Arabidopsis thaliana: one gene and its partners. The protein of the gene in region 3 purifies or fractionates together with the protein of the main gene of each other region. This does not show direct contact. Each region holds a gene or a part of one and is shown on either strand. Other genes may lie near its edges. The genes, in order: AT1G16700, ATP3, GAMMA CAL1 and MEE4.

Evidence for each region.
Region 1: the proteins of GAMMA CAL1 (region 3) and AT1G16700 fractionate together in Arabidopsis thaliana (co-fractionation; one large-scale study listed by BioGRID). This does not show direct contact.
Region 2: the proteins of GAMMA CAL1 (region 3) and ATP3 fractionate together in Arabidopsis thaliana (co-fractionation; one large-scale study listed by BioGRID). This does not show direct contact.
Region 4: the proteins of GAMMA CAL1 (region 3) and MEE4 fractionate together in Arabidopsis thaliana (co-fractionation; one large-scale study listed by BioGRID). This does not show direct contact.

Annotation. Positions count from the first base shown.
Region 1 is NC_003070.9:5,706,169-5,714,066, reverse strand, and holds AT1G16700 (Alpha-helical ferredoxin), read right to left. Parts: upstream 4,444-7,898; 5' UTR 4,206-4,443; intron 4,103-4,205; 5' UTR 4,056-4,102; coding exon 4,002-4,055; intron 3,587-4,001; coding exon 3,508-3,586; intron 3,408-3,507; coding exon 3,354-3,407; intron 3,244-3,353; coding exon 3,152-3,243; intron 3,072-3,151; coding exon 2,958-3,071; intron 2,860-2,957; coding exon 2,792-2,859; intron 2,681-2,791; coding exon 2,569-2,680; intron 2,469-2,568; coding exon 2,373-2,468; 3' UTR 2,024-2,372; downstream 1-2,023. Other genes in the region: AT1G16705 (p300/CBP acetyltransferase-related protein-like protein), read right to left, coding at 545-619, 734-886, 1,076-1,190, 1,552-1,598; AT1G16690 (Enhancer of polycomb-like transcription factor protein), read right to left, coding at 4,696-4,905, 5,020-5,256, 5,359-5,427, 5,542-5,592, 5,687-5,734, 5,837-5,917, 6,019-6,057, 6,182-6,247 and 4 more. UniProt on the Arabidopsis thaliana protein: Core subunit of the mitochondrial membrane respiratory chain NADH dehydrogenase (Complex I) that is believed to belong to the minimal assembly required for catalysis. Complex I functions in the transfer of electrons from NADH to the respiratory chain.
Region 2 is NC_003071.7:14,017,073-14,025,058, forward strand, and holds ATP3 (gamma subunit of Mt ATP synthase), read right to left. Parts: upstream 4,114-7,986; 5' UTR 3,976-4,113; coding exon 3,878-3,975; intron 3,477-3,877; coding exon 3,433-3,476; intron 3,322-3,432; coding exon 3,169-3,321; intron 2,970-3,168; coding exon 2,856-2,969; intron 2,774-2,855; coding exon 2,646-2,773; intron 2,535-2,645; coding exon 2,412-2,534; intron 2,313-2,411; coding exon 2,193-2,312; intron 2,104-2,192; coding exon 1,906-2,103; 3' UTR 1,538-1,905; downstream 1-1,537. Other genes in the region: RLP25 (receptor like protein 25), read right to left, coding at 612-1,268; RLP26 (receptor like protein 26), read left to right, coding at 4,798-7,200.
Region 3 is NC_003076.8:25,420,558-25,427,889, reverse strand, and holds GAMMA CAL1 (gamma carbonic anhydrase like 1), read right to left. Parts: upstream 3,924-7,332; 5' UTR 3,837-3,923; coding exon 3,455-3,836; intron 2,925-3,454; coding exon 2,844-2,924; intron 2,655-2,843; coding exon 2,278-2,654; 3' UTR 2,019-2,277; downstream 1-2,018. Other genes in the region: AT5G63520 (F-box/LRR protein), read left to right, coding at 102-141, 386-541, 725-912, 986-1,107, 1,194-1,590; AT5G63500 (transmembrane protein, putative (DUF 3339)), read right to left, coding at 4,221-4,430; AT5G63490 (CBS / octicosapeptide/Phox/Bemp1 (PB1) domains-containing protein), read left to right, coding at 5,920-6,056, 6,217-6,388, 6,496-6,628, 6,727-6,897, 6,977-7,055, 7,157-7,270. UniProt on the Arabidopsis thaliana protein: Involved in complex I assembly in mitochondria and respiration.
Region 4 is NC_003070.9:1,287,210-1,294,018, forward strand, and holds MEE4 (GRIM-19 protein), read right to left. Parts: upstream 3,904-6,809; 5' UTR 3,778-3,903; coding exon 3,563-3,777; intron 3,015-3,562; coding exon 2,943-3,014; intron 2,857-2,942; coding exon 2,712-2,856; 3' UTR 2,612-2,711; downstream 1-2,611. Other genes in the region: AT1G04625 (Polynucleotidyl transferase, ribonuclease H-like superfamily protein), read right to left, coding at 622-711, 1,023-1,579, 2,485-2,611; EMB1687 (ribonuclease P family protein / Rpp14 family protein), read left to right, coding at 4,141-4,596; LIP2 (lipoyltransferase 2), read left to right, coding at 5,332-6,039; AT1G04645 (Plant self-incompatibility protein S1 family), read right to left, coding at 6,644-6,809.

The DNA of each region.
Region 1 (7,898 bases), on a different chromosome or scaffold from region 3:
CTGAATTCTTCGATTTGGGGATTTTGATTTATTTTTTTTGGCTATTTAGGGATTTTTGGTTTTGATTTTGTAAGTAACAAAAGACACATTAAATAACACTTACCTTATGTTACTTATGTCTGAATACGAATCATCAAGGAACCTCTGTCAAAGTTAATTGGGGGAACCAAGGTCGACAATCCAACAGCCAAGGAGAAGTGTCGGAGATACATGCGCTCCTATCCGTCCGATCAAATGTTCCAGTAATTTAAATCTTCACACCCTTGTAGTTTTTGCTCTGTTTACTTTCGCAACTACTTTTTTTTCTGTACCGATTACCAAGAGTAACTAATAATAAACCATTCAAATTCATACATGTTCCAAGTCTAACCGGAAACAAATCATAACCGGTTTTACCATTCCTACTTTAGATCTTACAATTAGCAATACAGTAGCAATGGAGAAGGCAGAAGCGTTAGTATTGTATATGTTATCATCTTTTCCTTGTAACATAAGCAATGAAAACGTTTCCAAACAAGTCGTAAAAAGAACTTTCTGATAATCTTCATGGCTCAAGGCTCACTGACTTCAGATTCTCAGCAATCTCTGTCTCGCACTGATCTCTGTTCTCATTATCCTGCTCCAAACCAAAAAAATTTGGAACATCACAAAGTTCAGAATGTTTATAATATTACATTTCGAATTATACGCCTCTTAATTAAAGCTCGTGAATAATTCGATGTATGTAATGTACCATTGTGGGTTCAGCAGAGACTCCTGGAGTAGGTGTTATGGTTGTTCCAAGCGTAGAAGAATCAGCATGTTGGTGCTTGTACTTATTCAATTGCCTGCCTTTTATTAAGCTTGTCAAGCGAGATTCAAGAGTTGACGGGTTCAAGTATTCCTCCTGTGAGTTTTGAAGTTAAAAGTGTCAGAAACGAAAATATTTATAAGGGAGGACATATAGCAAACAAGCTGGATTCAGTGACAACATGTCAGAAGGCATCAACCAGTCTTGTTTAGTTAGAACTTAGAAATTCTCAGTAAATCAAATCCTAAATGCTTATAACTAATCAAGTAAATATAATTGATGTACCTTTGTCATAGCCATTTTAAAAAGTCCTTCCTCTAAGCGTTTAGCAGCATCTAAATGCTTCCCCTTTGATGCATCATCATTCGGAAGTGGGTTTCGCTTCTCTAACTGGACGAAGCTGGAAAGATTGGATGATCAGTTAATTTGAAACGTTTCCTCAAATGAGGTAACAACCCATCAAGAAACCCTCTAGTGTGGTTCGGAGATATACACGCAGAGAGGAAAACAACTATGAACACCAATGTGACAAGACTGGAATCCAAATAAGTAACATTTCAGTAGTAGAAACACTAATAGATGATATTGTTTCTTAAGAAACAAAGCAGAAATACATGATCACAGAGCCAAAAAGCAGTAATAAGTTAGATCATTCCCACTTTCCCAGACACATTAACTCAATCCGTAGTACAGCAGCAACTAACAGAGAAAAGGAAAAGAGTGCAAGAGGAACGAGTGAATGTGAAAAATTGAAGGCTTACATAGCGTCTCGCATGGACCGGCGAATCTGGAAAACATCATTGTCCATGGGAGCAAGTGTAACGTGAAATCCCTAAAGCAACACCAATTAACCAGCATAATCATAATCAGTAGTAAAACCAAGCATAAGCAAAGAAAGAAGATACATCTAAACCTCAGATGATAAAACCTAGGACTTCAATCCAACTTTAAAATTTGATACACAAAGAAAGAAGCAATCTTCCACCGCAAAGATCAGAGCCTAGTGAGGAAGATTCTTCCTTACGAGATCAAGAAAACGTAACCTATGATTACGATGAAGAAACAATGTCGCACGTCTAAACTCACGCAAGCCAGGAGGATAAGTAAAATGAGAAATCTCTGAAAGAGATCTTGAAACCGAGAAGTAAAAGAAGATGAGAAAGCGAATTTAAGACGAAATTCCAAATAGAGTAAGTTCCTGAGCTGGAGTTTCTGCCAATCAGAGGTTTTTACTAGATATGCAATTATGCATGTTCATGCCAGTCTATTAAACTACCATTTTACCCTTGTATTTCTCTGTATTTTACATCATTAATGTTCTCTTCAGATATTAGCAATTTTTTGTTAGACACTTGACCGACCGACACTGAGAGTAACAACACCATTGAATCATATCATAATCCATTTACCGCACGGTCCAGCTCAAACCGGAAACAAAGCCAAATTTGATTTTGCCATCGGTATGAACTCAAGAAATACAGATAGCAATAACAGTGCAAAGGCTGAAGCATCTTTATTTGTAACAGAAGCAAACGAAAACGTTTCCTTAAGAATTAGGCAAAAGGCATTTTCGGATCAATATTCAGCGGTAGAGGCTCTCCGACCTCAGATTCTCTGCAATCTCTGTCTCCCACCTATCTCCATTCTCAAGAAGCTTCTCTTTGTCATACAGAAGTTCCTGCACACCAAAAAGAATCAGAATGTCATTTATCGAATAATACACATCTAACTTTAAGATCATGGGCAATCTTATGTCTTTCTGAATTGTTTATACAGACCTCATGTGTCTCGGTTGCAAACTCAAAGTTTGGTCCTTCCACGATTGCATCAACAGGGCAAGCTTCTTGGCAGAAACCACAATAGATGCATTTCGTCATGTCGATATCATACCTGTACAGCTCCGAACAATCACTACACTACGAAATATATAGAAGAACCATAGAGACAAGACAGTATTAAATAATATATATATGGTTAATAAACGGGAACTTAGAGGGTGACCTAGTGGTTCTGCGGCTTCCATCTTCCCGCTCCTCTGCCTCTATTGTGATTGCTTGAGCTGGACATACCTGATGAGCAAAAGACCAGTATCCATGAAAAATCACACTTTATGTCAATATTGTGCTGTGGTATGAATTCTCGAGTAGCATAGACTTCAAAAACTCACAGCTTCGCAGAGTTTGCAGGCAATGCAGCGTTCTTCCCCAGTTGGATACCTTCGAAGAGCGTGTTCACCACGGAAACGAGGGCTCAATGGACCCTTCTCAAAAGGATAATTGATCTGCACAAAAGATAAAACTTGAGAATCAGAATATTTTTCTTTCAGCCTAATTACTAGAGTCAAGGGAGACAGCCACTCACTGTAACTTTTGGATCAAAGAAGTACTTGAGGGTCAGTGACAAACCCCTGACCATTTCAGTGAGAAATAGGGTGTTCATGCTCCGTTCAAAGACTGTAAAAGTAAGAAACATCAGGAATCGCTAAGACTCGCAGAAGGAAGTAATCAGGAAGGAATGCTAAGAGAATAGAAAGGTTGAAAAGTGTCTGGATCAAATAGCTTACCAGTACTCCAGTCCTTGGAGATCTCTTTAGCAAGCTGCTCAGCTTCTTCATCATCTACATATTACCAGAGGCAAAGGATTAGTAACCTATATTCCTGAAAAGTCATAGCCTAAATTAACCAAGAGAACCCAAATGGAAGCAACAAAATTTATACCTTTGTTGCTTCCATAAGATATAGCACGGGACTGTAGCCCACAGAGATGAGATCCCTGTAAACCTTGCCCTGAAAAAGCCTATCAACAAAGACAAGGTAGATGTTAAATGCGAGAAGAATTCCATAGCATAGCCACCAAAAGAGCTATTGAAAGTAAAAGTTAACTACCACGACGCTCTCAGTTAAAGTATTTATATTTGCAGAGATTGAGATAACAACATTTAGGCGATACATTCTCTCTTCAAGGAAGAGTATATGATCTAAAGGAAAAATGAAGCTTCACGATTGATGTACCAACGCAATACAAAGAGATGCATAGAGGAACAATACCCAGGAAAAAAAAAGACAAAAACATGTATAGCAGCACCACTTGCACATGCCTAGAGCCGGCCGGGGCAGACAATACCAACTAGTGATTTCAAAAAACTTAGCAGCAATTCCAAATTTCTAGGAATATAAGCGATATAAAATGGAAGAGCCTACGAGATTCTTACGAGATGTCGAGCTCGGAGAGCACTGAACGACCTGCGAGCTAGTAGCGAAGCCATCGATAGAACTCAAAATATCAAATTAGGGTCTCTCTTCTTCGATGTGCCTGATGTGAGAGAAGAAAATCCGATTAGCTGAAAAGCTTAATCAAGCAAAAGAAGCATTGAACAAGAGAATGACCAACGAAAAGCCTAAAATTCCATCCGAACCTTAAACGCGATACTCAAAAAAGCAAAGCTTCTGCACGAACCCAGAGAAAGTTCGATCTCACAAGAACATTGACACGAATCCTTTGCTGGTGATTCACGGTCGTCGGAACAAAATTCGATCAGATGTCTCTTAATTTACAAATTGACCCTTCTGGTTAACTACTTACTCAGCTCATAACCGGGCAATCAAACCGGTTATATTTGGTATGACAGTCAATTCCTTCCAAGTTTCACACATTTCAGGATCCAGGTTCTCAAGACGTGGACCAAACTAGACCATTGCTGAAAAAAGTTAATACCTGATCAATGGTCACTAACCGGACCTAAAGTTCACAAAGTAGCCGAGATTGATCAATAAACCGGGAAAACCAAAGACTACACAAAATTTAGAGGAGATACAAAGTGTTTTGGTGACAATCTTCACCACCACTGGGGAGGAACTAACGGGGATAACTCTTTACAATGAAGAAGAAGAAAACTAGTTGAGATGTTATGGTGCTATGTAGAGAGTGTTGCCACAGTTAATGTGGGCTTGGTTTAGAGGATTCCATCTATCAAATACAATCCGACCGCCTCTACCCATTCTTCCTTGAAACCGAGCTCTTCCACTTCTTGCATCTGATGGAGGGATGATTCCCGCAGCAGCCAGTTTATCGGGGACCAATGCTTTCGTGAACAGCATAACTGGCTCATTAGGATTCTACACAGAAACAACATAAACAGTGAACGTAATTCTCTCTTTTTTATCTTGTCACCAGAATGTAGTAACCTAATAGTCTCAAATGTTTCAAATACAGAGGTTCTGAAGAATTACCAGTTTGTGGAGCCATCCAAGTCTTCTCGCCTCTTGCTTTATGCTCCCGGCTTGAGCTCGAGCGAGGTTTGAGTCGGTGAAACGACGATGAGGGGTAAAGGAAGGCCTTGTACATGTTTGGGTGGTGGTCGGGTCATCGGAGTCCATGAATTCATCTTCGCTTGAGCCAAATCTGTAAGCTGTAGAGAGTGGAAACCCAGCCAGAGCCAAACTATCTTCCAAAAGTTCGGTTTCATTCTGCAAACATATCAAAACCCCACAAAAAAAATCAGAGGAGATCGAAATGCACAACTCTTTCTGGTAACAAAAGAACACTCGATGCAGGTTGTAGAGGACTACCTTATATTTCAGTTGGATTCTCTGAAGGCTAACCTCACTCGCCATGAAATCCCTCTTTTTCTCTTCTCTCTATAAAGATAACATGTTTTTAATCAAGTTAATACCTATGGAGTCTGCAGGTATCTCTTAAGATATCAATAAAATTACATTCAAGTCACAAAATATAGATGTCATTTAGATTACCTTAATAAGAGCTTCTAGAATGGTCTTTGCTTGGTCAAGATTGCGCCTGACCTAATAATAACATATCCCAGAACAGAAGAGAAGAACGTTTGAGAATCCAGGAATTATTTTAAGAAGTTAAACACAGATTCAGGTCTTCCCTTACCTGTCGCAGCTTCTCAAATGACTGCGCATTGTTTTCTCTCTGCTGCATCTGAAGTGAGGTCAACTATTGTTAGTAAGTTATGGTGCATTTTCCATACTCACACATGTAAGATAAGGAAATTGATAAACCACAGACAACAAGACAGCCTACTCTTCTTGCGTGTAGTCTATGAGCTTTCTCCCGTGGCCTAAACACATTGTACGGATTGGTATCATTGACCGGTGGTGGAGGCTGTTCCAAACAAAAAACACAAGAGTAGCTAATTTTCAGTACATTTCAGAATAAATTCATTTCTTCCACATGTAAGATTGAGACCAGTCCAAATGATATACCTGTAAACGCCGCAAGATAGGCTTCTGCCATATTTCACGCTAAAAGAATACAAAAGTCGAAGTTACTTAATGTTTTAAGCCTATGCCCAAAGAACCATTAACAACTTTTCATTAAAAAAAAAAAAATCAATTATCATCAAACTATACGACAACTATATCAAACCTTATTTTTCCAATAACTGTATATAGCGTGGAAAACTCCATATTTGATGGACAAATATTTCAGCGCCTGTAAAAAAAATGGAAATAGCACAATAAGAACAATGTAAATGTCCTGCTCTGCCTCTGAGTAATAACCCCAGGAGAACACATTCCTCTAGAGGAGGCAATATAATCACTATTACTAGATCTATGCTCCTGGCTCCTGCTACAGTTTTAGGCAGTGAGGAAAAGTATAATCACATCCTTTGGAAAACTGTCCCCGTTAAAAGATGGTTCACTATGATGAGAACTAGCCAATCAACCATCATCATTTTATTCCTCCTTTTGAGTTCCATAACCAAATATAAATCAAAATTAGATAAACAAAAGAAAATAAGTGTATACCTCACCAGCAGCATCAGGCTGCAAAAGCACTGGAACTGGCAAACCAAGGGTAGGAGTAATAACTCCAGCTCTTTCCCGCGCCTTATGATCCAAGACCTCTAGTTTAAATATAACGATCTCAAGCCTGTATCAAGTAATTAAGCATGATTACGGGTAGCAGGTTTTTGTTTTGAAACAAGAGAAAAGTTGAGCACTATCTCAACTCAATGTTAGGGGAATATCGGATATAAGTATAGAACCAATTCTTCTTTCAGTTTCCACTTGATCACATAGTTTTTGCACTATTGGCAAAATCCAAAATAAATTGAAGGCACCAGAGGAGAGACAGAAGAAAAATTTAGATTCTAGAGCTAATAGATCCATCTACCACACAACAAAGCTCATAGAAATGTGGATAATATAAACTATCTCAATGGTTAAAAATATGGAAAGCATGTTATAAACAAACAATTAACAAAATCTGAATAAGAGGTAGGAAACTTTACATTTCAGGTGAGAGAATCATTGTCTCCTTATTATACTCATAAAGCCAGTCATCATCGTCATTGTCAAGATCATACTCCACAAATTCTCCAAGCTCAGCCCGAGCTGCAAAACAGATTTTCATTTCCCATGTTGAAAAGATAACAAATGTTGAAGAGCATTTCAGGTATTAAAGGTTTACCTCCTCTAGCGCGTAAATATGAAGCAGGCTGATTAAAAGTCCTAGAGTAGTCTCTTTCATATGTATCAACAACAAGATACTGAGGTGTTGGGATTTCCGAAATCAGTTTCTTACTAGGCACTGGAGGCTGCACCTGATAATGTGAATACAAGAAACTTTTAATCATCACTCTACAACTTCACATCCAAACCGATACACCGAGAAAAAAAAAAAAAACTTCACCTCATTGTCAACAACCTCTACGGCAGATATACGCAGCAACTGAGAGTTTCTAGTAATGGAAGAAGGATTATCTTCGTCTTCAAAGTCTTTAAAAGACTTTAAAATTGGAAGCTTCTTGTGTATGTCCAGTGGACGGGGTCGAAAAGATAGCCTACTCATTTCACTATCTTCCTCCTCTCTACTAAACAATATCTATATAGCTATTTTGAGTACGAAAGACCTCATCAACGCTTTGCTCCTATGAGACAGGAAGAAAGTAAAATCTGCAAATGGAAAGAAACAACAGAAATCGCGCAGATTCAAAATCCCAGAACCCTAAACTGGTAAATGTGTAACAATTTCAGTGTAATATCGGGGGGAAAGCGAATGAGATGTGATATACTTACAAGGCGAGTTTTCTATTCCTCCGGACGAATCGTACCGGCTAATCAAAAATCGGGGTCTGTTC
Region 2 (7,986 bases), on a different chromosome or scaffold from region 3:
ACTGAATCTAGCGACGAACACACGTAGTTTTCAATCCATTTGAACTTAGAGTGTGAACGAAATCAAAAATTTACTTGGGATCCAAGAAAACACAGAAAAGGGAACATCTATCTTTTTCTTGTTTTTTTTTTACGCTCCGTATGATCTCACCGCCACACTTCAGTCTCAGTCTCGGTCCCTCTCTCTCATGCATTTTATTCATTAGGAAACAGATCTCATATGTTGCTCTGTTTCTCCCTCTCGTCTCCTTCCTCTGTTTCTTTATTTTTTTGTTTACAAAATAGAGAAGCTTGTTTTTAGGGGAAAAAGTTACTTTTACACGGAAATAGAATCCAATGATGAAAATAACAAGAACGGATTTCCTCCTGTGGGATAACAATAACAAGAGTTTGGATTTTCTACTTTTTATTGTCAGAGACCAAAAAATCCATAACGTGATTCCCGTTCCCGGCCTCTAGTATTTTTCTCTTCCAAGATACAGAGGAAAGCTGAATGAAGCATAGAGAACCTGCTTCACCACAAGACCAAGGAATACTTGACAAACATTCAAATATCATACGCAAAACAAGTAACAATTTGACATACATTCAAAAATCAAACACTAACAAATCTTAATGGTTTCTACGCTTATTAGGACCAATTATCTTGACGAGCCACTCCGGTTTGTATGAAGCAATGATTTGCGCTATTGCCAATCCAAAAAAAACTCCAGGTCCATACCCTGTTGCCACTGCTTTCCAGTTCAACACTTTTGCATCCTCTTGGTTGTCTTCTTTCTTTGACTGTTGTATTGGTGGCACTTTCGTTCCGAAGCAACTTTCTTCGAGAGGAAGACCACAAAGCCCTGCATTCCCTTCAAATGAGGATTTTGGTGGCCCAGTGATTTGTGTTCCTTGTGGTATTTCACCCTTGAGTTGGTTATGGGACACATTTATGTACCCCAAAAACGAGAGGGTCTTGAGTCCTTGAGGAATAGTCCCAGATAGTCCGTTTCTAGACATGTCTAATGATTCAAGCTCAATAAGATTGGCCATAGACATGGGAATATTACCTATGAAAGCGTTGTTTGATAAGTTGAGTGCAATCAGTGCCTTCAAGAGACCAATGGATTCAGGAATCTGTCCTTCAAGTCTGTTTCCGGAAAAATCAATAGCGCTGTATAAAGTAAGAATCCTCTTTTGCTCCATGTGTAGACCTTTGTATCTTAAATCTATAAAATCTTGATAGGTATAAGAAATGCTACCGTAAGCATTCTTAGTGTATATCATATATAAACCCCCTTCTTGATTTTAGCGTGAGTGATGATGCTTTCCAATTCTCATAATAATTTGGTGGCAAGCCTCCGGTAAATTTATTACCAGATATCTCAAATATCCGCAGCTCTGGATACCCTAGTGGACCTCGATCAAGAGGAGATATTGAGCCATAAAATTTGTTTCACATGATTGGATTCACATCAGTTTAAACTTTCTAACATCAGATTGTTTATACATAATTCCAAAATTCTAGAAATCCACTAGCATGACAACATACACTGCATTGGATATATTGTTTAGATTTGTTTGTGGGATTATTCAAAGTTTCAAACTTCAAAACCTGGCGAAGTGACAAAATATTGGCTCAGGTAAAAAAATATCAAATAAACCGGAGTACATGGTGTTTGCACAAAACAACACTACAGACTCTGGAGGAAGCGAGTCTGAATCAGAACAAAATGTTAATGCAATTATTCGAAATCCTGCTGGAAATTACAGGTATGTTTATTAAAAATCGTTGAGCAAACATTGGTAGGTCTCAACAAGAAGCCAGCAAAGGAAACTGATTCAGTAAAATTTTAACACACTCTTCTCCTTCAAGGTGGGGGTAAATATCAAAGCGAAGAAAAGAGAACTAACACGGATGGGCTTATTTAGCAGCTTCAAGAGCAGAAGCTCCAGAGATAATCTCAATAAGCTCTGTTGTAATAGAAGCTTGACGAGTCCTGTTGTATGTGAGGGTGAGACGGTCGAGCATTTCTCCTGCGTTTCTGCTTGAGCTGTCCATGGCAGACATTCTTGCTCCCATCTCACTACATGCATTCTCCAGAACCGCATTGAACATCACCTAGTAGAATTTACGTAAACAACCAAAATGTTATGTTTCTTTCTATGCTGAAATACCATAAATCAAGTTAAACTTTCTTGGTTACTTACACAAGAGAATTGGAACTCGGCCAGATTCTGCAATATTTCTCCCTTTGTTTCCCCACCTTCAATCTCATATGAGTCAAGCTCGCCAAGTTTTCCTCCAATTTCAGACTCCTTCTCAATAATCTTTCAATGCAAAACACACACATATACAATCAAGTTTATACTTAAAGCAGAATGTGAAATATTAAGCACAAATTGAGACGTTCAACAGTTATGACTTACCTCAGGTGACAAAACAGTGGACACAGTTGGCAGAAATGCGACAACTGAATGGAACTTGTTGTAGACAATGCGCAAAGCATCAAATTCAACGTTCTTCAGGATGTCATCAGCTAGAACTGACACCTGAAGCAGCAAGTAAACATAAGAAACACTATAGACAACAATAAATAGCTCGAGAACAAATGGATCGGGGAGAGAAACTATTGCTCCTAACTATTAGCAACTAAGAACTACCTGAGCATAATTGAGTGGGTTCTTATTCAGCTCTGTTACAGAGAGGACAATGTCGTTCTTTGAGTCACGAAACATTATAGCCTTTGCTTTCTCTCCGACAATAACAAACTGAACTTCCTTTTCAGGACCTGCAATGATATAAGAATTAATATCGGATATGCAATTCAGGAAAACTAAACCACGGAACCATCGTAGTGTTTTCAAACATACCAGCATTCAATTTGTACAGAGCCCTGCTCACTTTAACGACAGTGGAGTTGATTCCACCACAGAGACCCTTGTCAGAAGAGAGAGTGACCACCACACTCTTCTTTACATCAATGCCTGGTTTTTCCATCAAGTAACGCTAGAAATCAGAAACACATCCACAATAACAACAAGAGATAGCAAGAGGATGGATATCTCAGACTATAGTAAGAGCAACAGATTTGTTCGTCGTCATCAATATTCAATACCGATGCAAGCCCGGAGTGATACTAGAACAAAGTTATTAAGAAAAACAACTCTATATAGCCAACCATACTGGGATTATCTCCTAGAAGTGCAGTAAATGGCTGCCAAAGTCCACGGGAGTTCTCAGCTCGGCCTTGAACTGCTCTAAGCTTGGAAGCAGCAACCATCTTCATTGCCTTTGTGATCTTTTGGATGTTCTTAACACTCTTCATGCGGTTACGCACTGCACAGAGAATACATGTAAAGCAATTCATAAAGATTAGAACATCACAGATTTCTTAGAACACAATCCTAACTAGGTAAAACCAATCTCCAATTATCAGCTTTGACTTACCCACTTGAGTTGAGATAGATCGAACTCCAAGAAGTCCTTCCTCCCTACAAATCAAATACAAGTTTAGTCCTCATCATCCTAAATATCACAAAGTTTTGCAGGTAAAAGCTGATTAAATCTGACGAGCTTAGACAACATATCACAAAGTCTCTTCTACGAGGAAAATCAAATTGGTCTTGCAATAGGAAATTCAACGAAACGAGCTTAACAGGACATTTCCGAGTCTCAAAACTCCAAATAGACGAACAAAAACACCTCACTCATTAGCAGCTCCCGAGTCAAACAACACAATTTCCATAAATTTTCGTCGATTCGAATTTCAAGGAAATGAAAACATCAACGACTCAATTAAATCAAACGATTTCAAATTCAGAAAAGCATCACAGAGGAACAGCGAAATGTGTGTTTATACGCAAGGATAAGATGAATGAGAAAGAGATCTCACTGGTCAGAAGAGAGAGGAGATCGGATAGCAGCGATTGGGCGAGCGGCGATTGAAGGGAGGAGACGCCTCCCTTCGCGACGGAAAACAGCCATTGCCATTGATTAAAGGATTGATCGGTAAACAACAAAACCTAGCTCCGGCGAAATTTCTCAGATCGGATTATAGAGAGAGATTCGAGAGAGATGACTGCAATGGGCAAAATCAAGGGCTTCTTTATTTCTCAGTCTACACAGTAGTTTTGTCACGACGTCGTTTCCACTTTATTACCAAAATTTCCCCTGAAATTAATCGGGCCGAATAGAGGCTAATACTATTACTTTTTCGGCCCATCTTATAAGGCCCAAAGGTATCTCCTCAGATTATCAATCACGTCGTCATACACGTCTTGTTTCCTTTTACATTTTTGAGTTTTGACCATGACTTCTTCTTTCTCCAATCTATAACCAAATTAATGCGAGTTGTTTCATAACGCAACATACTCATAATAAATGAAAATTAAAAAAATATCAAGAGAAGGTAACATTTCACCAACCTATTAATTATTGAAAGGCCCACTTAATTTATTTTTCTGTATCTGTAAACAATAAGATACTATTAAACAGAATTGTCATCATCGTTACGTCATATTAATGTGCGTTCATTTGATCCAATGAGAGTAAATTGCTGAGTGTTGATTTCCTCTTGTTGCTAAATTTTGAAGCCAATTTTAACAGTCAACTATAACTCCCAGTTATATAGTCAGAGATGTCCACGTGGAATTTACTTCATGAACAAATGTGACTCGTAGACATTTCACGTGACATTTAAACCCCACATATTTAGTAAAGGCGGCTTAAAATAACATATATATAGCAAATCTTTGATATGTCTTTTTTTGGGTTCAATAATTTCCTCAACTTGTTGGTTCAATCACAAACACCATGCGTTTGCATTTTTGCTCGCTACTCTTACTCTACTGTATCGTCTTCGTTTCAAGCTTCTTGACGACCGACGCTCTTGCTTGTCTTCCTGACCAGATCCAAGCTCTAATCCAATTCAAGAATGAGTTTGAATCTGACGGCTGCAACCGCAGTGACTACTTAAACGGAGTCCAGTGTGATAACACGACTGGTGCGGTCACGAAGCTTCAGCTCCCAAGTGGTTGCTTCACTGGAACTCTCAAACCAAACAGTAGTCTCTTTGAGTTGCATCAGCTTCGTTACCTTAATCTCTCTCACAACAACTTCACTTCCTCTTCACTCCCTTCTGAATTCAGCAATCTCACCAGATTAGAGGTTTTGTCTCTTGCCTCTAGTAGCTTTACTGGTCAAGTTCCTTCCTCAATTAGTAACCTTATCTTGCTTACCCATTTAAACCTTTCCCATAATGAGCTCACTGGTAGTTTCCCACCTGTAAGAAACCTAACAAAGCTTTCCTTTTTAGACCTTTCTTACAATCAATTCTCAGGAGCCATACCTTTTGATTTACTACCCACTTTGCCTTTCTTGTCTTATCTTGATCTGAAAAAGAATCATCTCACTGGTTCTATTGATGTCCCAAACTCTTCTTCTTCATCTAAGCTAGTTCGTTTGTCCCTTGGGTTTAACCAATTTGAAGGAAAAATCATAGAGCCTATCTCAAAGCTCATAAACCTCAACCATCTTGAACTTGCTTCCCTAAACATAAGTCACCCAATTGACTTACGCGTCTTCGCTCCTCTCAAATCTTTGTTGGTCTTTGATATTCGTCAAAATAGGTTATTACCAGCCAGTTTAAGTTCAGATTCAGAGTTTCCATTGAGCTTAATAAGCTTGATTTTGATCCAGTGCGACATTATCGAGTTTCCAAACATCTTTAAGACCCTTCAAAACTTGGAGCATATAGACATTTCCAACAATCTAATCAAAGGGAAAGTACCTGAGTGGTTTTGGAAGCTTCCTCGTCTTAGCATAGCAAATCTTGTTAACAATTCTTTGACTGGTTTCGAAGGTTCTTCAGAAGTTTTACTTAACTCATCAGTGCAGTTACTAGATTTTGCCTATAACTCCATGACAGGAGCGTTTCCTACTCCACCACTCGGTTCGATCTACTTGTCTGCGTGGAACAATAGTTTCACAGGGAACATACCTCTCTCAATCTGCAACCGAAGCTCTCTCATCGTCCTTGATCTATCCTACAACAAATTCACCGGTCCAATTCCTCAATGTCTGAGTAACTTAAAAGTAGTAAACCTCAGGAAGAACAGCTTGGAAGGAAGTATACCTGACGAGTTCCATAGCGGTGCTAAGACACAGACGCTTGACGTTGGCTATAATCGACTAACCGGGAAGCTTCCAAAATCACTTTTGAATTGCTCCTCTCTGAGGTTTCTGAGTGTTGACAACAACAGAATTGAAGACACGTTTCCTTTCTGGCTGAAGGCGCTACCCAATTTGCATGTCTTGACTCTCCGTTCAAACAGATTCTTCGGCCATCTCTCTCCTCCTGATCGAGGTCCTCTCGCGTTTCCCGAGCTGCGGATACTTGAATTGTCAGATAACAGCTTTACTGGAAGCTTGCCACCAAATTTCTTTGTTAACTGGAAAGCATCATCACCCAAGATAAATGAAGATGGGCGTATTTATATGGGAGACTACAAGAATGCTTATTATATCTATGAAGATACAATGGATTTGCAATACAAAGGTCTATTCATGGAGCAGGGGAAAGTCCTTACTTTCTACAGCACCATTGATTTCTCTGGAAACAAACTTGAAGGACAGATTCCTGAGTCTATTGGTCTGTTGAAGGAATTGATAGCGCTCAACTTATCGAACAACGCCTTCACTGGCCATATTCCTATGTCTTTGGCAAATGTTACGGAGCTCGAGTCACTAGACCTGTCAAGAAATCAACTATCAGGGAATATTCCAAGAGAACTCGGGAGCCTCTCATTTCTGGCGTACATAAGTGTAGCTCATAACCAACTCAAAGGTGAAATACCACAGGGACCACAGTTTAGTGGGCAAGCTGAATCATCATTTGAAGGGAATGTAGGTCTCTGTGGTCTTCCTCTCCAAGGAAGTTGCGTTGCGCCACCAACAAAATATCCCAAGGAAGAAGACGAAGAAGAAGAAGAGGACGAAGTGATTGAGTGGAAAGCAGTGTTTTTCGGGTATTGGCCTGGACTGTTACTTGGATTGGTAATGGCACACGTTATTGCTTCATTCAAGCCGAAGTGGTTTGTCAAGATACTTGGTCCAGCTAAGGGCAAGCAAGTAGATCCAGTTAGATTGTTTATGAATCTGGATTCAAGATGGGACAGTTTTAATAATAAGGATACTGTAGAAGAAGAAGTGATATGAAAATAATAGTATGTGGATATGTTGTTGTTACCTGATGTAAGAAAGAAGTTGACTAGTTTCTGTAACTCTTGGTTCCCTTAATTACGATCTCTCTATTGGATGATAATGTCATGGTAGATTGTTGAGATAGAGGCGCTTATGACATACTGCTTCGGTTCTTCTCTGATTCTTCAAGTAACCCGAGCCGATGATTTGTAATGCACGAAAGCCCGCTGTTTCAACTTCCTGTTAAGACAAACTAGATGAAGTGAACATAAGAGTATAAGATCAATCTCAGACCATACATTGACGAGATCTCTTTTTTCTAAAAGTAAATGTTACCACTTACAACTGATGAAACAAATCAGTTTGATGTGAATTAAAAAAAAAAAAATATCATGAGAGGGCTTACTAAATATAACAATCTTCTTACACTTTGAACTAATATTCTCAGATAACAGAGAAAGAAAGTATGCACAATACAAACAGAGAGCTATCAATGACCCTAAAATATCAATCCAGAGTTGCTTAACCCCTAAACCCTATAATCAAATTGACTATTAACTGATTTCATTTCATGATTGCGTCAAAACTAATTGACCTTGAGAGTTGCTTTTCTTAACTATATCATCAACGTTAGGATCAAAGAAAGAGAATTAGCTAAACCCAAAAATGGAAAGAAAATTTAAAGGAGGATTCGATTACTCTTGCTTATGAAATCACCTGGCATCCACCAAAACGTCGACGAGAGTGAGTGACGGTGATCGCAATAGCTCCGCTGTCGTCGCGTCATAAAATCTCCTTTTC
Region 3 (7,332 bases):
GAACTCTACTTCTCTGGCTTCCTTTTCTGTTTTACTTTTGGACTATATTCAGTTTTATGACTATTTTCTTGTCTATTCATGCTTCATTGGTGAATTTGTAGGAGGATACTCATGCCACAGAACCTGTTCTTCACAAACTGGGTATGAGTACTGCCTTATGGTACATCTTTTCAATGTTACTTCGTGACAAGTGAAAAAATCTATTAAGACAAAACAAATATTTCTTGAAACATTTTTATTTTGTTGGTTGGTTGTCTAGGTTGCCTACCTCTTATTTTCACTTATTTTGCTCTGGCTAGAATCTGAAAAACATAACTACCATTTTGGTAATATATAGAAATTACGGTGCCTGAAAACTTGTTAATGAAGCTTGTTTGCATTGCAGATTATGCCATGCCTGCTGAGACTGTTATTGTGGGTGGTCAAATTGGCGAGTTTTTACATAAACGTGGTAATGAACCAAGAAATGTTCAGTTGCAGAAAGATGATATCAGAGTTCTCGCTGGCTTAATATTTGCAAGAGATAGACACAGACCTGCTCGTAAGTTTCCGTGGTTTTAATATTAGTTTCTTAAAAAACTACAGTACATCGAGAGACACACTTTATCTTTACTATGCTAGGTTAAATATTTCAGCATCGTTCTTTCATGTTGTGCTGGTTATGTGTTTCCGATTAAAATCTCTTCTTTTCATTTTACTCAACTTGTTGAACTAAATGAAGCAGAGGCTGAAAGAATTCAGTTTGACACTGCAATATCAAATGGAATGTCATCGGTTGATCTGAGGTACAAGGCGGCTAATGTCAATGTTAGCCTCGGCCCTAGTTGTCCTTCGACGCTTCTGACTGCCAAAAGAAGAGGAGAAGCAGAGGTTCTTGATGGCGATCAAATTCTAGATGACATAGATAATATTGTAAGCATCTGAAGCCAATCTTTTATCTAATCCTGAAATCAGTTTGGTTACTTAACTGACTTGAAATTTGCAGCTAGAAAACTATATCTGGGAGAATGATTCATACCTCGGAGTAATAAAACGTAGAAAATACTCAATTGGTTTGGAGGAGAAGCCAAAAATCATGTCCTCCCTTGTATTTCATCAAGTGAATGGGTAACGATCGGATCAACAAGTATCATAACATGAATCTGTCCCTTTTGACCCATCTAAGTTTTTTTTTTTTTGGTTTGCTTACTCAGATCTGACGATCAGGATCTTTTAGTTGATGGTGCCGGAATCAAAACCGGCGACCAATTCCAAGTATACCTCCCTGATCTCAAAGTGGCTGAAGCAGCACTAAATGATGTTTCTGCTCAACTTAGAAATCTCAAGTCTAAGCCGAATAAACCGGAAGTCGTTGGAGGTTTTGCTTTCGTCGGTAGCTGTCGCGGTGATTCCTTCTTTGGTTGTCCAAACGCAGACAGCTCACCGTTTTTAGAGAACTTCCCGGAGTTACCGTTTGGCGGTATATTCTGCGATGGTGAAATCGGACGCAGCTTAATCTTGGAGGAGGGAGAGGAAAAGAAAGAAGTGAGCATCCAAAGATTTCTTCACGTTTATAGTTCGGTATATCTTATTGTCTCGTATACATCTTAATATTAAGGTGTCTGTTTGTTTTATGCTTATTAAGAGAATGATAAGTTAACTACAACTAGGACTAAGGAGGCAATAACTCTTGCTTTGCTTTCCATCTCTTATTAATCTTATCTCTTTCTTATTTTTCTTGCTTCTTTTCACTTTGATGATTTGGTTATGTGCAGGAACTTTGAATTTATAGAGTGAGAACAAAAGGGTGTTGATTTACGAATTAATTAGACATGAGTTATATGTTTATAACCTACAAGCAACGGAAGAATTTTAAAGATTTTCAAAATGTAACCCATATTGAGTAAATTCCATTACATAATTTTAGTTTGACCTACGTTCTTCATTCTGTCAAATAAAACGTCACAAGTCCTGTATAATTAATTCTTCTACACAATGTTCCTTTTAGTGATCCCAAATAACGAAAAACCATTTAGTTTAGTTATTTGTTTTGTTTAATTGCTCACAACAACAAAACCAGAAGTCGTCGCCATTATCATTCAGACAATATTCAGCCAAAATCAGTTTTAAATGGAATTTTACAAAGAACCCAAAAAACGAAATGACAAACGTTTTAGAACCAAAAAAGAGAGCCGGACTTGTTTTGATGTTCATCAGCTACTTATTGCAATATGCAGAGAGAAAGACCTCATATGATAGATAAACACATGAAAGTGAATCACGAAAAAGATGAAGCTTCTAAACGGCGATCCCAAGGGACTTCTTGAACTTCTCTACCTCTAAGTAGACAGTTGAGTAAGGTAGGAACTCAGAGAAGTAATCTCCGCTTAAGTGGTTGATGGCTACAGCGAGTTTTGGGATCTCTAGGGTTTCTTCGTTGGTTAGGGTTCTAATGAATCTTGCTGGATTGCCTCCCCATAGTTCACCTGATGGGATCCTTCTTCCTGGCGGCACAACTGAACCCGCTTCCAAGATTGACCGGGTCTCAACCAGTGAGCCTTCCATTAGTATTGAGTGTTGACCGATGATGCACTCTGGTTCGATGGTACATGATCTCAGAAGACTGTAGGCACCTACTGTCACATACCTGTCGATTATTGTCGCTGCTGGTAATCCTGAAATTTTAAAATAGATACCCCAGAATCAAATTTGTGATGTAAAAAAAGAACCAAGATATAAATTTAGCCTTGAAAGATAAACAAATAGTTTCATCAATGTGACAAGTTGAATAGATACTGTTCCGGGTCAAATAAAATTCAGCAGACCCTATCAAACCAGAATGGTCACTCTTCAAATGTTTTTACTTGAAAACTTCCCTTGTCTAAACCTTGGAGCAAAAACAAGTTCACATCCATGTGATACAGCTTTATCACCATTGCATCCCACTTCCAGTCACGAGTGACCAGAAAACCAAATCCTTGCATAAGTCATTAAAAAAACCAAAATCCTTTTATCGAGACATTGTTCCCAAATTTCTGCTAAGAAACTTCCTACTACTACACAAGATGATCGTGTGTGGTACTACGCTAATCTATTCAACTCTCAATATTAAGCTCAATCTTCAGTTAGTTTCTTGATTCCTGTAATGCTAATCACCTAAAGAACAACACGTTTCCACACACATAATCGGCGAAGTTAAAACTCATTATGCTCAAAAGAGTAAGAACAATAGCCACAGCCACAGTTCACTGGACGATTCTTCAAGCAAGAAAATCTGTACTCGAGAGAACACTATTATGCAGAACCAATTTACTTAATTGTCCATATAAGTTCTCGACTCTTCAATAAGCTTTTCATAACTGAAAATGGACAATGAAAACCCCTAAATCCCAATCAACATTGTCTTGATTCCATACAAAAAATTGGATAATCAGAACACAATTTTTTTTGAAAATGGAAGGAAGGAAGCAATAACCTGTTGGGGAAGACCAGGCGGCATGAACAACACACCGTTCCTGTACATTCGAGCAGAATCCAACAGTGATTTTGTTGAGATCGCCGCGCAAAACGGCACCGTTCCAAACAGACGAGCCGTCCCAGACTGTGACCTGACCAGCCAGCACAACGTTGGGTGCCACGTAAGCATCAACGGCTACCTTCGGAAGCCACTGTCCCAAAGGAATGATCTGTCGTTGGCCTCTGTAGTCCCATTTCACACGATCCGTCGACGGCGACACCGTGAATTGCGGTTTAGGTAACTCTGTCTTCCTCGCCAACGCCGCTTCCGCAGCGAAGCAACGACGGATCAGGTTAGAAGTGACTCCTCTCCGAGACAATCGAGCTATCGAAGTCGCCATTGCTATGGATTTTGGATTTCTTCAAGGATTTGCAAAGAGGAAAAGAGAGAGAGTGGTCGTCGAAAGATTCACCTGAAATTAAACGAGATACAGCATATTGGGCTTTTTAACGGACCACAGGCCCAATAATAGTAAAACGTCGTCGTTTCACTTATTAGGTGGATGTACATTAGGTGTCAAGTAGCATTTGAAAACCAAATTAAACCAGATCCCAAACAAACTCTACAGATTGATACCAGATTCAAAAACAAAACTGGATGTTGTATCATTTGGTGAAATTTTGATTATATTCACAAATCCGAAAATGTTACAAACAAAACAAATCCAGACCTTACAATCAAATTGAAATAAAACCAAGCAGCACCGGTTTGTCTGGCTAAACAGTTAACCGGAATAGATGTGGACGTTTATGGCGATGGTAAAGATAGTGATGAGACCAAAGAAAATGATGGCGTGAACGAGAATCGAAGCGCCACTCGTCTGCATATTACCGAATTCGACAACTCGACCTCCCGCCGGAATCTGGAAAAGAAGCCCCGGCGATAGAACTACGAAGAGGATCACGGCGATCAACACTGGGCCCCAATCCGCCATAACTTCTTGTCTTAAAGAGAGAAGAAATGAATTTGGAGAGAGAAATAGAGAGTGGTGAAGGAGCTGGAGTATTTTTGGTTTTAGTTAGAGACGAAGCTTCTCGTGTGATGTGAAAGCTAATGCTGTGGTGAACCAATTGATGGTATCCACGTGGACATACTTTAGGTTTAATTATAAAATTATTGTTTAGTGGGAAAAGATTTCGAACAACGTGAATCTTATACATATGGGCTTTGAGTTTTCGGCCCAGTATTATAATTCATAACTTATGTTTGGTCCATATCCATGAAGCTAAAGTAGCTTTGGTTATTGACTATTGTTGTGAGTGTGACCTCAATTCTTTTCTTTTTTTGGTCAAAATTGTTGTGACACCAATTCTTTTTCCTTTTGGTCAAAACTGTTGTGACATTGATTCATTTCACTGTTTTTAACATTGAAATATTCAACAATTAATATAAAGTTTGAATATTAAAATTTCTGTTTTTTTTTTTTTTTTTGGTTCACACAGATTTCACAACCATGGATGGAACAAATCCTTAAATACATTGTAAGAAACTGAAAATGAGACAGAATGGATATTTTATTTTCATTTTGTTTTTAGTCTACACGTTTTTATCCAGATAGAACACAGAACTTTTAATATCCTAATTAAATTAACCTGTTTTAAGAAAAAATCAGTTTGAATTTTCTGTCTTAGACGAAATCCAATTTGTCCAAAAAAAAGGAAAAAAAAAAATCCAAATGCTAAGAAGAAAGAGTAAAAGGCAAATCCAATAATCAACATATAAAAAATAAAATCCAGAAAAAGTATCAACTCGTGTGTAATAATGACCATAAATAGCTAATGACGATAAAACCCTTTGCCAAATGAGAAACAAATCTTTGATCCACTTGTCATAGTTCTCAAATATTGAGGATATAAGTGTCAATAACCAGATATAAGAAATCAATATATTGCCCCCCCAAAAAAAAAAGCAAAGACCAAAAAAAAAAAAGGTAGCGATCGTCCAATTCGACAGAGCATCGAAATCAAAGAATCCGATTGGGTGAAAATCGCAAAATAAAACGTGTTTTTCAGAGAGAAAAATCACAGAATATTTCTTGCTTTCTAATTTTCTTACATTTTCCCGTCACTTTCCCGGGAGAATCTCTGTAATCTTTCTCGTCTCACAAATCGTCGTTTTCTCTCTTGCCGTTATCTGTCTCACGAACATTTTGAGAAAGGAGAGAAGAGAGCATCTACGAAACGGAACTAATCCCAACTTGGTGTAGCTCAGTTTTTTCAATCCCAGAATCCATTTGTTGACCCGACGAATCCGCCTGGTAATAGCTTTGATTTCACGAGTTTTCTGATTCTTATTAGTGTTTGTTTTTTGGCGTTTTGTTTAGTTTCGATTCCAGAAAAACTTTCCTTATTCGAATTTTGGTAATCATTTCGTAAGCGTTGACGATTACAAGGGTTTGATTTTTTCTATATCATACAGTAGATATGGCTAGCCAAGGCGGGCCAAGACGGAGCTTATCCGTTACGACTGCGTCATTGCACGGAAAGAAGAAATCCATGGATATGGCCGAACGAGGTCTCGATACTGGCCGGAGATCTCTTACTGTTTCTCGTTCTCCTTTGTAAGTCTCAGCTGGGTCTCAATCTTATATATAAACCCTAGTTTATGCTCGTATTCAATTCATAGAGAACATCTAGCTCCTCAGGTTTACCTTATTTCTTTTCCATTGAAGCTATTGTGATTTGGTTTTAACTTTTTTCTCTCATCTGTATATGGAGCAGGGGTTTAACAGGAGGCGAGCGGACTGTGAAACGGTTAAGGCTATCGAAAGCACTTACAGTACCAGCAACAACAACTATATATGAAGCTTGTAAAAGGATGGCTTCACGACGAGTTGATGCCTTGTTGTTGACTGACTCTAATGAAATGCTTTGTGGTATTCTTACTGATAAGGTATGCCACTATTCGCTAAGTGTAGTTAAAAAGTTAGAAACAGATTGGAAGAAGGAAATGGAGACTTCATTGATCTGTGTGTATGTGTGTCTTTTTTGGATTTTCAGGACATAGCTACAAGAGTGATTTCACAGGAACTTAATGTCGAGGAAACACCTGTATCTAAGGTTATGACGAAGAACCCAATGTTTGTTCTCTCAGAAACACTTGCTGTTGAAGCTCTCCAAAAGATGGTCCAAGGTTTGTCTCATTGTTTTTAAGCTAGAGAAACTTGATGTTTATCTGATTGCTGTGTCTAGATCCTTAATGAGGCTATATCTTAACCTTACCTACTGCAGGAAAATTCAGACATTTGCCGGTTGTTGAAAATGGCGAAGTTATTGCTTTATTAGATATAGCAAAGTGTTTGTATGATGCAATTGCTCGTATGGAGAGGGCTGCTGAGAAAGGTAAGGCAATAGCTGCTGCTGTTGAAGGTGTTGAAAAAAGTTGGGGGACAAACACTTCAGGTAGGCGAGGAACTGCTGCAATCTCATTTGTTGTTTGCTTCTTATTTTGAATGTCCAAAATGTTGATTTTTTCATGTAGTTCCCAACACTTTTATTGAAACGCTACGAGACCGGATGTTTAGACCTTCTTTATCAACAATTATACCAGATGATACAAAGTAGGTAATCTCTTATTTTTCTAATGAAATTCTTTTTACAATCTTGATTGAGTGTTTCCTGTCTCTTTTGTTGTTTTAACTTAACACCGCTGTTTGTTCAGGGTTTTGAAAGTCTCACCAACTGACACAGTGTTGACTGTAGCAAAGAAGATGGTTGAATTCCAATCAAGCTGTGCAGTCGTGATAATCGAGGACAAGCTTCGAGGGATATTTACGTGAGTTCTCCCTTCTGAAAGCCTTTGAAGTTTTGTCTTCTTTACCCTATAGATCCTGAAAG
Region 4 (6,809 bases), on a different chromosome or scaffold from region 3:
CAAATTAAAGTTTTCACATAATAGTTTTCAGTCTCATATATTGCAACAAGTCTCTATGCAAGCTAACACAAAGGCAGTCTTCCTATGCAAGCTCTTTAGCACATCATTCAGATTATCTGATCGAACTACATACATGGCCACTAACACATAGTCACATACTAACCATCTCCTAACTTGTATTGGTTAAAACGCTCAATTTATAACACCACAACATCGACAAGAAATCGAGAGTAACAACTAAAACATGCTTCCACGACTCTCTATGATTCTACAAATAAACAACAGAGACTACAATAGCATTACTCTAGTTACAAGCAGAACCTAGACAACATAACAAAAGCCAATTCTTGATTCAGAACAAGGAATGATGACTAACTCAAAATGATTGTCAAAGAAACCCATTTCAATACTCTAAAATTGGAAAGCATCAATATAGCAAATGATCATAAGTGGCTGATACAAGGTCCAAAGCATGGATTACGAGAAGAAAACAAAAAATCCACCTTCTTCTTCTTCTTTTGTCTTTTTAGCCTCTGTTTGTTTCTGTTCCTCTCTTACAAAAAGAACTCACCGATCACGAGAACGTCAAAGCTCGATGATCACCATCCATTTTCACCACCGTCAGAACCGTCGGAACTGTAACTCGGTGATCACACCATCAATGATCTCGCCACCGTTTGTCTCTCTGTTTTCTTGCGTTTCACGATCTCTCTAGCAAATCATGGCGGATCTCACCGAGAGTCCCAAGTATTGACGCAAACCACGCGCCGTTGTCACGAGACTCAGGTATGTTGCTTCTCGCTTAAATTCCTATTTGATCTCTTGGAACCTTGGATTTTTAATATTTAGTTTCTGCACAAAAAAGGTCTCTTTGAATTAGGTCAATCAATATTTAGTTTTCTAACCGCAATTTCATCGGAGGAACTAGGGTTTGATCTTGTAGTTTTTTTTTTTTTCCTCAAACATCAGCTTTATTAATAATTTGCTGTAGCAAAGTCGCGATGTAAAAAATCAGTTATTACAAACGGGATATAGTTATAGCAATAAAACTGAGTGTTCAAAGGAAGTTGTTGTTTTGCCAGAGCATCTGCAGCCATGTTTGAAAATCGCCTTGTCCAAGTAAACTTGCATTCTTCAAATTTTGATCTCCAAGCGCTTATATCTCTTATCCAATTAAAAACTGCAAAATTTGAAGACCGACCATTGACAATCTCTGAGACTTCTTTATTGTCACCTTCAAAGTAAATTTTCCTATAGCCCCTACTCCAACAATGTTGCATGGCCATGACTAAAGCTTGGAGTTCACTTTCCATCGGATTGGTAGTAATAGAGCCTATAGCATGAGCTGCACCTAGAAAGGTTCCTCGATCATCCCGTAAGAGCCAACCCGCTTTACTCGGAGCGTTGCTGTGGTAAGTGCCGTCATAGTTGCATTTCGTCCAACCAATAGGGGGTGTTGTCCAGAGATTAGCTGTTGGTTCTTGTGACGTTACTCTGTCAGGTTTTGATGATAAACGGTGGGTGTACTCTTCTGCATCTTGCCATTCTTTGGCGTCTTGTCTTGCATATCGGAGAGAAGCTTCCCATGGAATGATCTTGTAGTTTAGTTTTACAAAATTGACCTAAAATTGGTGGATAATGTTACGACAGAGCTACACTAGGACTTTGGAATGGGCTTTGCTGTATGAGGCCTTCGTTACACTAGGACTTTCTTCATTCTAACTTTTTTTCTTCTTTTCTTTAAAAATTATTTTAACCAAAACTAAAACTTTCACTAAAACATTTAAATAAATAATTTTTTAAAGGTTTTTTATAAATACTAAATTAATATGACGTTGTGAAATCTAACCGGATTTTTGATCCCGCCATTTAACCGTGGTCATTAGCGATTCCATAAATCCAACATATTTTTCACATCTTCATGTATATTTAGCATTTATTTTTTGTTTTCTTTTCTTAAAAGTTTTTCAAATTTTTTTTGATTTTTTTAAAAGTTTTAATAAATACTAAATTAATATAACGTTGTGAAATCTAACCAGATTTTGGATCCCGCCATTTAACCGTGGTCATTAGCGATTCCACAAATCCAACATGTTTTTCACATCTTCATGTATATTTAGCATTTAATTATTTTTATTTTATTTTTTTAAAAATGTTTTCAACTCTCTTTTTTTTTCCTTTTTCTTTTTTTTAAAAGATTTTATAAATACTAAATTAATATGACGTTGTGAAATCTAACCGGATTTTGGATCCCGCCATTTAACCATGGTCATTAACGATTTCACAAATCTAACATATTTTTCTCATTTTCATGTACTATATTTAGCATTTAATTTTATTTATTTTCTGAAAAGGTTTTACTCTTTTTTTCATTTTCAAGAACTCTTGTTTTCAAAATTTTATTGTTTTGGATATTAAATTCACATATAATTATATATGATTTGGTTCGATTTCACTCGGTAAGCTTTTTCGAATATTTTTCACCTGGAGCTGTCAAATAAGCCAATTTCTTGCAGCTTGCTGATGAATCATGAAACTGTTTTTGCCTCATATTACGATTGAAACACTTAAGAGAAAACCAATACAAGAAGAATACTGTCTGTTGAATCATTCTCTTATTACCCGAAGAAAAAAAGATATAACAAGAACATATCAATCCTCAGCGAAACATCATTCATCATCATCATATGCATTTGAGAGAAACTAGGAAATCACCACACATCAGGACGGAGTTCCCCAGTAGCCGGAGGCATCCAGCGACCAGAATTGTACACATTCTCGCCAACTTTCCATCCCGGAACATCTTTCATTACATCAGCCTCATATTCCAGATACTTTTTCCACTCAGACACAAACCTAGAATGCAAAACGGGGATTGAAACAAGATTGCTATCTGAAGGTTGCTGCAGGCACATTGACTTAAATTTGAGAATATGGTTTACCTTTCATCTTCTTCTGCTTGAAGAATGGGAAGTATTGTTCTACGAGCAGCATATTTCTCTTCCTTCAATGCCCTAAACATCACATCAATCTTGATAAGAGCATTAATCTTGATACTTACTGATATCAAATCAGACTTGTTTAGGACCATTGTAAATGCATAAGAAGTTAATGATCAAGCCAGATATAATACTAAAACAATCTATCTACATAGAAACAGTATCCCGATAACTACTATCAAAACATGCAACTAGATAATTGCTTTCATCATAACAGATTCTCACATCTTTGCAATTGTGGCTTTAAGAGTTTACAAATTGTTGACGAACTTTATATTCGTTTAAGGCTAAACTCATGCTGATTAAGCTTCAACCAAAATGTCGGGGAATACTAATAACAGAATACATAACAGTGATTCAACAAGCCTATGTTTCCATAGGTTAATAATATTAACCAATTCCTACGATAAACATACTCAAGTTTCAACAATTATTAACCAAAATGTATCCTTCACTACATTACTATGGTCATCAATCACTCCACAACACTAATTTTACCAAGGCGATCTCGAATTTTAGAGGAAAAATTGAAATGTGAACGAGCTATTACAAGTCGTTCTTACCTGCGGATTTTGTTTCCCTGGCCGACCTGGTACATTCCCCAAGCAAAGGCACCAGAAACGGCAAGGAACATGGCCATTGCACTAGGACCCGTATTGGATATCCGGCGGGCATATCGGACCGGTGCGAACCCACCCGGTGGCGGACCATCCTGAAGCAGCGGCATATCCTTCACACTCGCCATTCCTGGCTTATTTCTTATCATCGCCTCCGTCATCTTCAACGCTCAATTTCTTCTCGACCAAATTGACTTTTGATCACTGAATCCGATTTGATTTTGCTGAAATCGAGTGTTCTAGGGATTCCGATGAACAACGAAGGGAACGTTGGAGATTAACTAGGCTAGGACCATATAACTAAGCCCATTAGTTAGCAAATCACGGAGTCGTATGAGATGAAATGGGCTATAACTAAGCCCATTTCAGATATGTTCAAAGACCCAAGTCCATAAGTAAGCAAGTCACGTGGAGTCACGTGATTATCTTCTTCTTCTTCTTACATATAAAATGCCCTAACTACATGTTCAGAATATCTTTAGCCGCCGACTTGGTATCATCAAATCGAGGAGATTCGAAGAAGCATGGTGGGATTTAAGAACAGATACATGTTAATGGAAGTTTTTCTGGATCCGGACAAGGATCTTCTCGGAGAAGGAACACCGATCATTCTTACACAATTCAATCTCTCGAAAGCAATCAAAGACAGTATCCTCGTCAATTTCGGCGAGTGTGGTCTAGGTTCGTCTCTCGGTTCCTTCCAAGTGAAATATGTGAATCCAATCACGAAGCTATGCATTGTAAGATCATCAAGAGAAGAACACAGACAAGTTTGGTTAGCAATCACATTGGTCAAAAGCATCGGAAACTGTCCGGTGATCTTAAACTTGCTCGATATTAGCGGTTGCATCAGAGCGTGTAGAGACACAGCCTTGAAGTGCGACAAGGAGAAGTTTGAGCAGTGTAGCAAAAGCTTGTCTGAAGAGGAGATTAGGCAGATGAATACTTCTCTTGAGAAGATCAAACTATTGGAAAACTGAAACTTTTCTAGACCTTTTTTCCTTCGAATTTGACCCCTAAGTTTTGAAATTGTACAATCTTTGTATTTTTCTTAATTCTGAAATACAAAGGGATAAGAAACAGCATCATTCCCTGAAAAGATTGTTTGCGATTTGAATCACTGGGTTTTTATATGTTGGAATTAAAATAAGAGGGTGTGAATTGTTGAGATATGTTCTAGATAAGGCGTAATTCTGTGAAAATTGAAAACTTAAGGGTACAAGTGCAAAGTCGTTGAATTTTGAAGCTTTTAATAAATCCAAAATTTCTAATCTGGAGAGAACCTATCTCTGAGGTCCAAACTCTTCGGTGGAGGAGAAGAACTGAAACGGTAATCTAGCTCTTCAAAGCCTCTTACTTTACCGATTACTTGCTCTTGTACCATGTATACGATCATTTATATGGGTTTTTATCGGTTACGGTAATCCTCCGTGTCTTTTTCTTTGTGTATGCATGTTAAGTGTTCGATAAAATACCTCAAAGACCTGGTACCAAAAACTATTCATAGGGTTTGTATCCTAGCTCCTCAGATTTTTATTCCTAATTTTAGGTTTGCTGCCTTTGGAAATTTTTTGTTGTGTTAGTCATGCTTTTAGACCCCCATCAGTAGTATTAAGTTTGTGTGGAAAAAAAGGTCGTGTTTGGAATCTTCCTATATAACCTAAGTAGTTAGAGATAAAGTGATCAATTATGGAGTCTGTGTTAATGTGCAGGAAATGAGATCCCCTAGAACCTTGGAGGTTTGGAAGCTAGGCACTGTCAACTATTTGAAATCCCTTAAACTGCAGGAGAAATTAGTTTCAGAGAGAAAAGCTCATCAGATTCCAGATACCCTCCTCTCGCTTCAGCATCCACCAACTTATACGCTCGGAAAGCGTAGAACCGATCACAATCTACTTATCCCTGAATCTGAACTTACAAAAATCGGAGCTGAACTTCATTATACTCAAAGAGGAGGAGACATCACCTTCCATGGCCCTCATCAAGCCATCTTATATCCCATCATTTCCTTACGCAGCATTGGTTTTGGTGCTAGGAACTACGTGGAGACATTGGAGCGGTCAATGATCGAGTTTGCTTCGATTTATGGCGTGAAAGCTCGAGCAGGAAACAAATGTGAGACTGGGGTTTGGGTTGGGGATAGGAAGATCGGTGCTATTGGGGTTAGGATATCTTCTGGAATCACTAGTCATGGTTTGGCCTTAAATATAGATCCTGATATGAAGTACTTTGAGCACATTGTGCCTTGTGGGATTGCTGATAAAGAAGTTACATCTTTGCGAAGAGAGACGGATACTCTGCTTCCTTCAGAAGAAGTGATTCATGAACAGTTGGTTTCTTGTTTAGCCAAAGCGTTTTCTTATGATGATGTTGTCTGGAAGGAAGATCCTTCACTCATTTTGGACACCCAAGATAAAGAATAATCCGGTTTGATCCGGTTTTGATTTATTGTCTACAAAAAATGTTATTATTTTTTGACGTGATGTGGATTTCTGATATTGTCTTATTCATTCTCAAATTTTCATTAAAATCAGTCATATGAAAGTATTTCTAAGGAAAACATTTATGCTCTTTACCAAGCCTGCAAGCACCATCAGCTTTGACAGTCCAATTACATAGATAACATACATCTTGATCTCTGAAAGCATCAAATATCTCAAACTGTTTGAATTGCTTTTCCTATTTAACAAAATGAGTTGGGTCAACCCATGAAGCCTAAACTCATTGGTAATGAGTTGTGTTGAATTGGGTTAACCATTTTGACATCCTTAGTGAGAAGAGTATGCAACAACAAACCTTAAGAGAGAAAACCAGTGAAGATAACGAATAATTCTCGGTTTACTCCGGTTTTGTGTCTACCAAAATATGTTTGTTTCTTACTCTAAGCATTCCGATGTCAATGAGTATCTTTAAGAAACAAATCTTTAAATAGTAAGAAATGCATAAATATTCTGTTTATTGATTTTATTGAATTTGAATATATATATATATATATATATATATCTTCATCATCGCAGGAGTACAAACTTACTTCCAAGGAAAACATTTCGCCTTTTTACCGAGCCTGCATGGACCATCAGGTTTTATTTCCCACTGACAGTCATCACATATACCTTGATCTCTCTGAGCATCATATATATCAAACGACTTGAATTGACTGTCCCATTGGAAACTGCAAAAGAACAATGTTGAT